2 linked regions of the Drosophila melanogaster genome follow. The protein of the gene in region 2 purifies or fractionates together with the protein of the main gene of each other region. This does not show direct contact. Each region holds a gene or a part of one and is shown on either strand. Other genes may lie near its edges. The genes, in order: CG12301 and kz.

What was found.
Region 1: the proteins of kz (region 2) and CG12301 purify together in Drosophila melanogaster (affinity purification with mass spectrometry, with the first as the bait; one large-scale study listed by BioGRID). This does not show direct contact.

The regions. Positions count from the first base shown.
Region 1 is NT_037436.4:15,578,892-15,584,070, reverse strand, and holds CG12301 (uncharacterized protein), read right to left. Parts: upstream 3,272-5,179; 5' UTR 3,182-3,271; coding exon 2,777-3,181; intron 2,718-2,776; coding exon 807-2,717; 3' UTR 698-806; downstream 1-697. Other genes in the region: AIMP2 (aaRS-interacting multifunctional protein 2), read right to left, coding at 1-74, 190-336; mrn (marionette), read left to right, coding at 3,565-3,863, 3,919-5,119.
Region 2 is NC_004354.4:2,237,066-2,243,924, forward strand, and holds kz (kurz), read right to left. Parts: upstream 4,971-6,859; 5' UTR 4,838-4,970; coding exon 4,763-4,837; intron 4,695-4,762; coding exon 4,503-4,694; intron 4,442-4,502; coding exon 1,434-4,441; intron 1,372-1,433; coding exon 1,169-1,371; intron 1,109-1,168; coding exon 1,008-1,108; 3' UTR 793-1,007; downstream 1-792. Other genes in the region: fs(1)K10 (female sterile (1) K10), read left to right, coding at 5,244-6,539.

The sequences.
Region 1 (5,179 bases), on a different chromosome or scaffold from region 2:
CCTAAAGAGTCCAAATCAAGTGCACATGTGGCTGCGTTTCGTCCCGTTCTGTCGATCCTGTTGGCCTCCAATTTCTGGCAAGGATCACACATGCGGGAATGGAATGGATGTGGCGTTGTAGACATACGTTGCACTTTCACTGTCCTTGCGACCCGACCAACTTCTCACTGGCCCGGCAAATAAACTTACGCATGATGATGTGGACGCGGATGTGGATGCGGATGTGGAGGAGCCGCTGGCCAAGGAATCCGCCGCCAGGCTAACGTTCTTGAGAGGATACATGCAGGTGGGCAGCTTTATGTCGAATTGCGGCAGCAGAGTCTTCAGTTCGTACATTTTCGCGGCGAGAATCGTTGGATAAACACAATAACCTGCGCAAATTATCAATTCCAAAATGTGCTTGCCGTCTGTGAGAAACTTTACAAAATACCAAATAATTTAAGGCAACGCTATCGCTATCGTTCCACTTAACACCATTAATCTGGTCACATTGCGTGCGGTAATGAAAGCTATTGAATTCAAATTTAAAATGTAGTTTTTATACATTTTATACTTCATCCAGAATATTCTGCTTGGTCAACTACTGTTGTGTCGTTATACCTTTAACGAAAATCAAACAAAACATTGTTTAACTCTTTTTAATTCAAGTTTTTTTTATAGAAATGTCTCAGTTATTAACAAAAATAAAAAACAATTTGAGAAAATAATGCAATTTATATAATAATTTCCCTTTCTATAGCTAAGTAAATTAGGAGACTGGCAATCGTTCATATTATTCAGATTTATTTTTAAAAATATTCCTAGTTCTATGCTATCTTGGCCTTGGGTGGCACTTTCGGTATGCGCTTTATCCTCCTGTCCACGATGTGGCGTAGACGCCTGTCCGGCTTGACCAGCTCGCTCTCTGTCATGGGCTCGATTACCTGGCCCTTGCGCGTGATTACTGCCGGACGGGTCAGCATGCGGAACGCCGTCTCCGGCACAAAGTTCCGGCCAACTGGAGCACGGATACTGGCTTCGTAGTCTGCCAGGGATCGGAAAGGAAATGGTATGCTGGAGACCATGTGCTGGCGCGCCTGCTTGCTGGCGGACTCGTTGAGGTAAAGATTATCCTTATTCTCGTCACGACGCTTTTCCGGAGCAGCCAACTTAAGAAGAAGCCGCTTGTTTCGTCGCTCCATTACCTCCTTCGAAATGCCAGCACCCGCCCAGGAACCCCATCCAGGCAGGGCGAGCTGAAGCTCAGTGTTCTTAAGCTCGGAGTCCTTGCTTTTGTCCCGATTAAAATCAGCTACAATGTCATCATCCTCGAAGGCTTGACTGATTGTCAACTGGCGTTCAGCAGCGGCGTCTTCCTCGTCGTATTCAGCTGCTTCATCGTCTATTAGAGCATCGTTAAAGCCTCCCGAGTTGCCCTTCTTTTGGGTAAACACCAAAGTTGTCACCTTGTTGGGATCTATGGTATCCACAGCTGGAATTTCCGTGCTTTCTGTGTTACCTTCAACGTGGGCAGGGATATTATTCTGTGAATTTTTATCCTCCTCGTAGTTAAGGGGCTCGTCAATCTCTATCTGTTGCTTTGTCTTTTTTAAAGCCAGACTTTTTAGGTTTTGCAAGACGTCCTTCTTTTTCGCCTTCTTTCCCTTGACAGGAACTTCTTTAAGTTTGTTTATCCGTTCCCTCAATTTCTCCATTTTCTTATTTAGTTTGGCTCTGATATGATCCTCGTGTTTCTCAAAAATGTCATCAATGGCTTTTGAATTCGGGCTTGCCTTGGCTTCTTTCTGATCAGTTGGGCAAATATCTTCCACCTCCCAGCCATTTTCTATCTTAACTTTCGATTTCTTAAGTTTCTTCTTAGCAGGTTTTACTTCTATTAATGGTTTCCGAATAGTTTCTTTCTCCTCCTGCTCGTCATTATCCTGGACTCCTTCCAAATCCCTACGATGCTCCTCCAGTAACTTTTCGTTTTTATTCCTTTTTGTCCAATATTGCCGCCAATTGGAACCCTCACTTTCACCATTTCCATTTTCCGTTTGCTCTGTAGCTTTTCTTTTTGTCCAAGGATTAAAGGGATCGTAGTCATTATCCTCCTCCTCGGGTAAAACTCTCTTCTTGGTGGTTTCATCTTCGCTGTCTGACACCTGCTTTTTCTGGGTCAGTTCCCTGCTAACAGCCAACTGCTCGGCCAGATCCTTTCGCACATCCTTGTCGTACTTGGCCCGTATCTGCAGATTCTTCGCCCAAGTACCGGTGTTCTTGTGCCGCAGGCTGGCACGCTCCTGCACTCGACTCTTTTCCAGGGCATTAAGCTTTTCCAGCGCCGCCTCTGGATCGGTTTTCTGCAGCAACTCGAACTCCTTCATCTGCTCCAACATTTTTTGTCTCTTCTGCAGCTTGTGGAACTTTTTCGATTTGATTTTGTTTTGCATGCGCGCCTTTGCTGACTTTTGAGACTCGCGCATCTTCAGGTAAGCTAGCTCCTTGCGACGGGCAAATAGTTCGTCCCTGGTAAGCTTCTTTTGTAGTAAAAGCCGCTCTTGCTTGGCCAGCTCCTTTTCATCCGTGGTATCCCCAATTTGCGCTTTGCGCAGTTCCCGTAGTTTACGGTTGTTAGCCTCGAGTTCTTGAGCAAGATTGGACTTGACCCGGGTGTTTAGAGGCCTGGCATTTGCCGCAGTATTTACGTAAACCGTTTCAGATGGTAGGGGGAAGATCTGTAATAAGTTTTGGAGATTATATGTGTATGTCACTGTTAGCATTGGCATTCATTCACCTGCGTCTCCGCAGATCTCTGTTGAGCCACCACAGCATCCCAACGACCGAGTTTCTTGGTAACTCCCTCGTAGCCAATGGTCCGTTTAATTCGATCCGCAGCTGGTTTCTCCAGCGGCTTCTGTAGCACCTTTTTGCTGCCATGGATGTTCTTGAGCTTCTTGCCCGTCTGACTGTGCTTGGTGGAGGTGCGTAGGATGTCTACCAGATCGTTCAGACCCACGGCTCTGGGGGCATGATCCGTTTCCGCTGACGAAACACCTTTTACCAGCTGGAACTCATCCTGGAGCGACTGCCGCTCGTCGCGCGTGGACTTCTGGATGTGCTGCACCTTGCCCAGACTGCCGATGGCCTGCAGCAGCTTCTTGTGTGCCTTTGGTTCGTAGTGCTCCTCGTCGTCACTCATTTTTGTCAGGAAAATATTTAAAATCAAATAACAATACAAAAATACTTCGCGCAGCACGTGTGCAGAATAACAGCTGAAGAGTTATCGATAAGTTTTGCGGCCCATCACAATTTCTACCTGTGCTCGATAGCATGAGTGTGGAAAATGGAGCTGCCTTCTTTTAAAAATTAACTTAAATATAATAACATTTACTACTCAATACATATATCTATGCATCAAAAATCAATTGATTTTTTTTTAACAATAAATGTACTTTTAACTCAGCGAAAACCCCCTTCGTAACGCCCTTGATGATTACTATCGATTGTCCCCCCACGAAAGACCGGCTATCGATGACAACGGGATGAAAATATTTTGTTTACGAATTCGACATTCGAATCGTCATGGCCGACACGAAATCCGGTAGTGGTCGGCATTCGGCTGCCGGGGGAAGTGGAAACGCCGTCCTGTCGCCCTTGGGGCAGGGTCCTGCGAACTTGGAGTGTAAGGACTTTCAGGAGTATCTGCGCACCCGCCAAACGCCAGAGTCGCTGGAGAAGCTGTACAACTATCCGCCCATTTGTTTGGCCGTTTTTCGGGAGCTTCCAGAGATAGCCCGGCAGTTTATCATAAGGATACTGTTCGTGGATCAGCCTGTGCCACAAGCGGTGGTCACATCATGGGGTGCCCAACGTTGTGCCAAGTATGACTGTATCCAATTGGATAAACAATATCATTGCAATGCATTACTTTTGCAGGGAGCAAGCCGAGGCAACCAGCTGCCTGACGGCTTTGAACGTCTGGCGGGTCACAGCCATTCCGGGTGGCCTTTCTGCGTGGGAGCTCTCGCCCACCTTCAAGAAAAGCGTACGCCAGGTGCTGCTGGGCGGCGGAAAACCTTGGCCTATGACCAACACGCTGGATAAGGACTCGAAGCCCAGGGACATTGCTTTTCTGGATACATACGCCATGTCCCGCTGGCGTTGCGTGTTGCACTACATGGTCGGCACCGGAAATCGCAATGGCACCGATGCGGAGGCCATTAGTCCGGACGCCGTTCGGATTCTGCTGCACGCCAATCTCATGAAACGTGATGAACGAGACGGTATCACAATAACCCGGCAGGGCTTTCAGTTCCTGCTGCTGGACACGCGAGCTCAGGTGTGGCATTTTATGCTACAGTACCTGGACACGTGCGAAGAAAGAGGAATCAGCCTGCCGGAATGCTTGTCCATGTTGTTCCAGCTCAGTTTTTCAACGCTGGGCAGGGATTACAGTTCCGAGGGCATGAACAGTCAGATGCTGACATTCCTGCAGCATCTACGGGAGTTTGGACTGGTCTTCCAACGTAAGCGTAAGGAGGGACGCTTCTATCCCACACGTTTGGCTCTGAATGTGACAAGCAAGGAGGCGGCTGCGACTGCATCTGTGGCCATGGATGAGGAGGCCACTCAGGACTGTGGCTACATTGTGGTGGAGACGAACTACCGAGTGTATGCCTACACTGATTCTCCGCTCCAGGTAGCCGTGTTAGGTCTGTTCACGGAGCTTCTCTACCGCTTTCCCAATCTCGTCGTGGGCGTGCTAACCCGCGATTCAGTGCGCCAGGCGTTGCGTGGCGGTATCACGGCAGAGCAGATTGTCTCGTATCTGGAGCAGTATGCGCATCCCAATATGCGCATGGTCGAGTCAGCCATTCACTCTAAATCCTGCCTGCCACCCACAGTCGTTGATCAAATTAAGCTGTGGGAATTAGAGCGAAATCGCTTCACCTACACCGAAGGCGTGCTGTACAATCAGTTCCTCTCGCATACAGATTTCGTAACGCTACGAGACTACGCCCAGTCGATCCACATGCTGGTGTGGCAAAATGAGCGAACTCGCACAATGGTGGTGCAAAAGAATGGCCACGACGATGTCAAGCGTTACTGGAAGAAGTACTCTAAGAGTGGTGTTTAGCCCGGTATTACGACCAATTATTGGGAAGTTATTTTAGAAGTAACATCTGTGCCCATTTTG
Region 2 (6,859 bases):
TTGTTGTAACTTGCGAATTGTATAATATGGAAACGGAAAACCAAATGCTTCTCAAACATTACCTATTTTGTTCTTTCTCCTCTCGCTAGCCAATACAGAAATATTAAGCAAACCTAAAGAATTTATAAATGTATATTTAACGGAAATTAGTTTAAAGTTAAAGTTAATGAACCCCACACACAGACACAAAACATACCAAATTCGATTGTTAAAGAGTACACAAATGAAACAAATCCCGCATTACATAAGCCTAAGCGATAAGCGAACTTCGGACAGGATTCAAGTTACAAAACTAAGATATTACACACAATTCCTAGATGATTAAGAGGATGAGGATGAGGACGAGGATCAAGTGGAATGACGACATGTAAAGCTCTCACGTTGCCTTAATATATTAGACTGATTTTTTCTACACACATTTGTAGACGTATGGTGGATGACATTTGAGAAGTCCCAGCCAATTGCCTGGGGGGGGAGGAGTTGCAGCAAACGGAGTCCTAATCCCAATCCCAACTAGCGATTTACATGTACATATAGGGAAGAGCGAAGCTAAGCGAACAAAGCTACAGTTGTCGGCCTATCCGAATCCGATCGTTCCGTTCGTTCGATGAGTATATACCATATACCAAGGCGTATACACACTATATAGCCACATGCCCAATTAGCCAAATCTCTCATTAACACAAGTGTAAATGCTAATTTCTCACCAAGAGCAGACAAATTTTCTTACGATTAATTACCAAGAGACAAAACCAACAGACAACAAAAAACAAAATACAATGAATATTGATTATTTCTATGTACATATATGGATTGTATTAAACATTTATCGAAACTAGCTGTTAACAAAACATTTTTATTCCCCCTCACTCCACTCCATTTTTTTAGTTCCATTTAAAACAAATTTCATATTTATATTATACATAAAAATTATATAAATATATATCAATTAAATAAATAATAAATGAAACTTGTTATACAAAAAAACCCCCTTTTATCTAGCTTTTTTACTGGCGTTGTGGCTCTTTCTTGTCCACCGGTGGCCATAAAGGCGTCAGTTCGCTAAGCGCCACGTCGTAGAGCAGGTTCTGATACTCCTCCAAAAGGACTAAGAAGAAACGGAAGATTAGCAAAGAAATTAGGGTTCGAGAGACTGGGGTAAACTTACAGTGAGGATCGCTATTCCATTGGTCGATCAGAGCCTGGCGGTTATGGATCTGCTTGGTAATTAGAGCGCGCTTAAAGCGCAATACCTTGTTGTTCATACTGGACCAGCTCTTGATTACGGAGGCGGGTGTGGACTTTAGTTTGCTCCGGAAGTCTGCTAACCTCGAGCAAACCTCTCCATCCAGCAGAAACATTCCGAAGTAACTGAAACCACATGATTAGTATGATCACTTATCTAAATACCCAACCTTTAAAAAGACACTCACCAGCAGGCCTTTTCGCTGAGCGGCATCTCCACTTCCCCGAGAGGCAGCTCCCACCCCGACTTGCCAAACGTGGCATCCACGTGACAGAAGATCTTCCCTGATGTTTTATCAAATCTGGGAGCAGGATCCTCGCGCACCTCACGTATGTTGCAGAGCAGGGGAACGTATAGAAGAAGCCACTCCGGCTCAATGGCGGTGATGCCGCGGATGAACATCTTGGTAGAGTCGCCGTTTTGCAGCTCGTATGCCTCCTGATAGATTACCCATTCGGGTGCTTTTTGACGCAACACGGATGAGACGTGCAGGAACGCTGGTTCCTCCATGTCAGCACAATTGTATGCGTACTTTAATCGCCGCCGCTCTTCCTTGTCGGCGATGTCTGCCAGAGGTACCTTTCTAGCCACCCGGTCGCCCATGCCGGCCAATAGAATTTGGCGAAGGAAACGCGCCTGGGCATCGGTGGGAGGCTTCAGTTCGGGGTCCACACCCAGCTCAACGTCACTAACATTCAGGTTAATCTCGTTAGTCAGCTGGACGCGCAATTTTCGCACCTCGCTCATCGCTTTCTGGCGCAATCCATTCGCAGCACAAAACTCTGGCAAGCGGCCCTGCGATCCGGCGTACTCTGCAGCTCCTACGGCACGTAATAAGACCATAGGATCTCCAAGCAACTGATAGTTGCCGCTGGCCGCCCAACTTTGGCGTTTGCGGTGGAACCGATTCGCGCCAGGTGCCACATCCTCATCCCTTTGAACGCCCGTTTCGATTAGCACCTCCTGGACTGAAAGTGCGGCCACCAGGCAGACGGTGTAGGGCAGTAGGTTCTGCTGGTGGGACAGAGCCAGCATTTTTCCAAAGCGCGGCGCCACGGGAAAGCGGGAGATAACGTGACCCAAACGAGTAACGGCTGGTGGCAAATCTGTATTCTCTGTCTTGGCGACCTCCAGGGCACCTAGCACGATCAATCGCCGCTCGGCGGCTTGCAGCTGCACTTGATCCGGTGGTGAGGGAAAGGGAAAGTGCACCACGCGATCGATGCCCATGCAGCGCATTTGCAGCATAAGGTCCTCGACGGGCTTTTTCTGGATATCCGGCTGGGAAAAGTCCTCGAAGCAGTCGTTGTACACGGCACTCGAGTAGAGGCGATAGCAATGTCCGGCGCTGATGCGACCCGCTCGTCCAGCACGCTGATCCGCCGAGGCCTTAGACGTGTAGGTTACCACAAAAGCACTCACACCCGTCAGTTTGTCGTAAAGACGCGTCTTCTGGCGACCACAGTCAACAACATACTTGATGTGCGGGATGGTGAGAGATGTCTCTGCCACATTGGTGCTAACCACGCATAGCCGGCAGCCATCGGGAACGGGCAGGAAGATGCGGTTTTGCTTCTCCGAGGAGAGGAGCGAGTAGAGCGGCAGGACCCACAGAGGTTGCCTTTGACCAGATCCCATTCCCGACTCATCCTCCAAGCCTAGTTCATCGTCGTTATCCTCTTCTAGTCCCTCCTGCTCATCATCCTCATCCGGCTGCTCGTGCATGTCTGCTTCCGTATCATCACCAGGGAGCTTGTAGTCGTCCAAATTGATTTTGGGTAACGCCATTTGCGCCAAGAACTTTTTCTTAGATTTACGAATATTACGTATAACTCGTTTCATATCAAACTCCAGCTCCTTGGGATCCTCCACAGTCGATGCCGCATCATCTATTGTTTCCTCTTTTTCTTCCTCCGATACCTTTCCATTTTTAGCGACATCCTTGGTTGGCGCATGATGATACGGAAACGTACGTCGCAGCTTGCGCACCAGTTGGTTGACCTCCTGCTGTCCCGTCACAAAAATTAGTATGCCGCCTTCCGGAAGCTTATTATGGATTTTTAAGGTCTTGCGGTAAGCCTCCGCCACATAGTCATCAGGTGTGCGCTTCTGGAAGTGAATAGTCACCGGAAATTGTCGAGCCTCCACTTTAAGCAACGGTGGCGGAATCTTAAACAAGCGAGTATTCTCTGTAAAATCGGATACCCGCAAAGTGGCAGACATAATGATCAGCTTCAGCGGCTGCCCGCGTTTGTGACGCAAGGGCACGATCCTTGACAGGAGACCCACTAGGATGTCTGTGTAAACACTGCGCTCGTGCGCCTCGTCCAGGATGATCACTGAGTACTTACTAAGCAGAAAGTCAGTTTCGATCTCCTTAAGCAACACACCATCTGTCATGAATTTAATGCGCGTCGCTGGTGTTACGTTTCCCTCGAAGCGAATGAGGTATGACACCTCGCTCTCCGGCAGGTTCATCTCGTGGGCCACCCGCTTGGACATGGCAATAGCAGCCACTCGCCGCGGCTCCGTCACTCCAATCATCTTGTGCTGGGCATACCCCGCTTCGTACAGGAACTGCGGTAGCTGGGTAGTCTTTCCAGAGCCAGTCTCACCAGCCACGATCACAATGGGGTTTTCGTTGATTGTCTCCATCACCTGCTGCTCCTCCGCGAGGATAGGCAGTCGAAGACGGGCATTCTGAACTTCTGTTGTCCGATGTACGGGCACATAGACAGTCTGGTGGATACAGGCAGGTGGGTTAGGCTCTGGCTTCAACTTTTTAATGGGTGGTTTAACAGCGATTTGCGGTGGAGCTATAGACACTGGAGTGGGTATGGCAATAGGAGCGGATTGAGCTGGTGCCTCCTCATCGTCCTCATCAGAGGATGAAGAATCTTCGTCATCTTCCTCCACGCTAATTACATTCGGATTCTTTCGCTTGGCCTGTAGTTCCTCCTCCTCTTCGACGAGAAGCTTGCGCTTGGAGCCCTTTATAGCATTTACGCGGAGACCCGACGCCGAGCTTTTTTCAGCTAAAACTTGGGCCTGTCTTTCCTTTTTCTTGGCTAGATACTCGTCAAGGGTGGGTAGACGCTTTAATCCCACGGTTTGCACTTGGCTAATGGAAGTATACTGCTGCAGCTCCTCCTCCGGAATTTGAACGGCAGCAAGGTCACCCAACAGCTGAGCGCGCTAAATTAGAAAAGATTTCAATTAAATATCAGTTTTATATTAGCACTGAATAAAAACCTACACCCTCTTTCTTTTTCTTCTTGTCCACAATAGCCTGGAGGTGCTTGCGCTGCTTCTTGGAAAGGATCTTCACGTGTTGCACTTTGTCCACCTTAATCTTGGTGGCCCGCTTCTCGGAGGGCAGAACCAGAGCGTTGGCCTCATCGTAGCCAACCTGGTTGCCGCCGGCCACAGCATCCACATCGATCTGAATCTGTAGAGTATTGGATTTGGAAAGGGTAAGAAAGCGGATTCGAGTGTGTGGTCCGACGGATGACCTACCTTCTTCACGGCCGAGTTGTCCACAATTGTTTGTGGATTCTGCCGCGCCTTGGCATTGTGCACCTTCTTGCCCATGATTACTTTACTTTACCAATATAGTTAATAAAATAAAGTAACAGAATTAACTTTGGGCAATAATATAAACATTGATTTAAATCACACGTGCGAAGTACGCTTATCGATAACAGCGCAGGCGATAACAAAAGTTGAGATACTCTAAAATGTGCTGTGATGTTACATTTGTGTTAGTGGAAACATACATTAGTGGGAAAAACTGATTGTTATAGTTGTTCACACTCCTTCGACAGCACTGGTATCGAAACGTTATCGCAATCGATTCATCGTAATATTTTCAATATAAGTTTTTGTGACAAATAGGCGTGCAACATTTTAGATCCATCTGCTCCCCGCCTGTCGTTTCGGCTTGGCTCCTCTGCTCGAGTCCTGAACCCCCGTTTTCAGTGAAATCCAGCTACCTGCAATGGTGTCCAAGAACCAATTCTATCAGAACTGGACCATGCAGTCGCAGCAGCAGCACCCGCACCAAATGCAGCAACAGTTTCAGCAACAGCAGCAGCCAAATCTGCAGCACCGCAACAACCAGAGCAACAATAATAATTGCAACAATAATCCCCGCGCAGCTGCGGCTCCGTATAGAAAACCGTTTCGTTCGGGCAAAATTAACTCCGGACCAGGAGGAAATGGGAATGGTAACAGGGTCAACGGTAACAATCAGATGATGTTTTCCTCCAGCCAAATGCCGAGCGATCCCCTGTACATTGACTTCAGCAGCCCGCCACCAGGATTCAAACACAATCAGGTAGGCAGTCCCAAGAAGAAGTCTATGAAGGGCATCAAACAGCAGCAGCATCCCAGTCCGAACCAGCAGCAGCCTCCCAGTCCGAACCAGCAGCAGCATCCCAGTCCGAACCAGCAGCAGCATCCCAGTCCGAACCAGCAGCAGCATCCCAATTCGAACCAGCAGCAGCATCTCAGTCCGAACCAGCAGCAGGGCAAGATGAACAACCAGAACAACAATCATATGAACCAGTCGCAGCAGCCCTTCAACAATCAGATGAACGGAAGCGATTGGCAGCGCCATCCGGGCAACAATCCCAATCAGATTCGCGGTGGCTTTAATGGATTCCAACGCGGGCCGCCTCCGAACCGTCCTCCTCCACGCCTCATGATGGGTCCGCCAATGGGTCCGATGGGCCCCGGACCACGGGGACCCGGACCGATGGGCCCTGGAGGACCTTACCCGCAAATGCCTTTCCCGCCACCGGTGCCTGGTATGCGCGGTCCCGGACCCATGGGCCCCATGGGTGGACCACCACCGCCGCCGCCACCGCTCTTTATGCGTCGCAACGGACCCGGTCCAGGTCCTATGATGGGTGTCCCACCGCCCATGCACATGATGGGTCCACGGATGCCGCCGCGGGGAATTCCACCGGTCGGACCTTATGGACCAATGAACATGAATGGCGGCCGGATAATGAAGCCCAATCCCAAGCTAATCAAGCAGGTGGTGAAAGGCAAGAGCAGCATAAAGACACTAAAGAACCTGATCAATCAGTATCCCATCGAAAAGCCCTGGGTAACGGACGAGATACGCAGCGAGCACGACAAGAAGGTGGACATCGAGAACAGATTGAAGGGCCACAAAGACGACGAGCTCTTCGCTCAGTACAAGGGCCAGCGGGACAAGTTCGTTAGTCTCTACGAAGCGGCGCGGGAAGAGTATCTCAAGCAGGAGGCAGCCACTGTCAAGGCCAAGGTGAGCATATAGAGACCCCCCAACATATCCTTATTCCCTTGGAACAGGTGTCCCATCCGAAGCTCTATTCAGGGAGGCACACCGATTCCGGGTACAGTTTCGGCTTAATCCGGAATCACTTTGCACCCCTGATTTGATCCGTAACCCCCACCCGTCCCTCTTTGTTGCGTTTGCCGGGCGGTAGGAAAAAAATAAGAGAGCAGAGAAAGTGAAAAAGTAAGTCTCAACCTGATGCACTCTCTCGCATTATCCTGCAGTCCTGCGGAAGGTTGTTGTCATATCTATTTTCACCTTCGGTTGTTCCCTTGGCACTGATATAT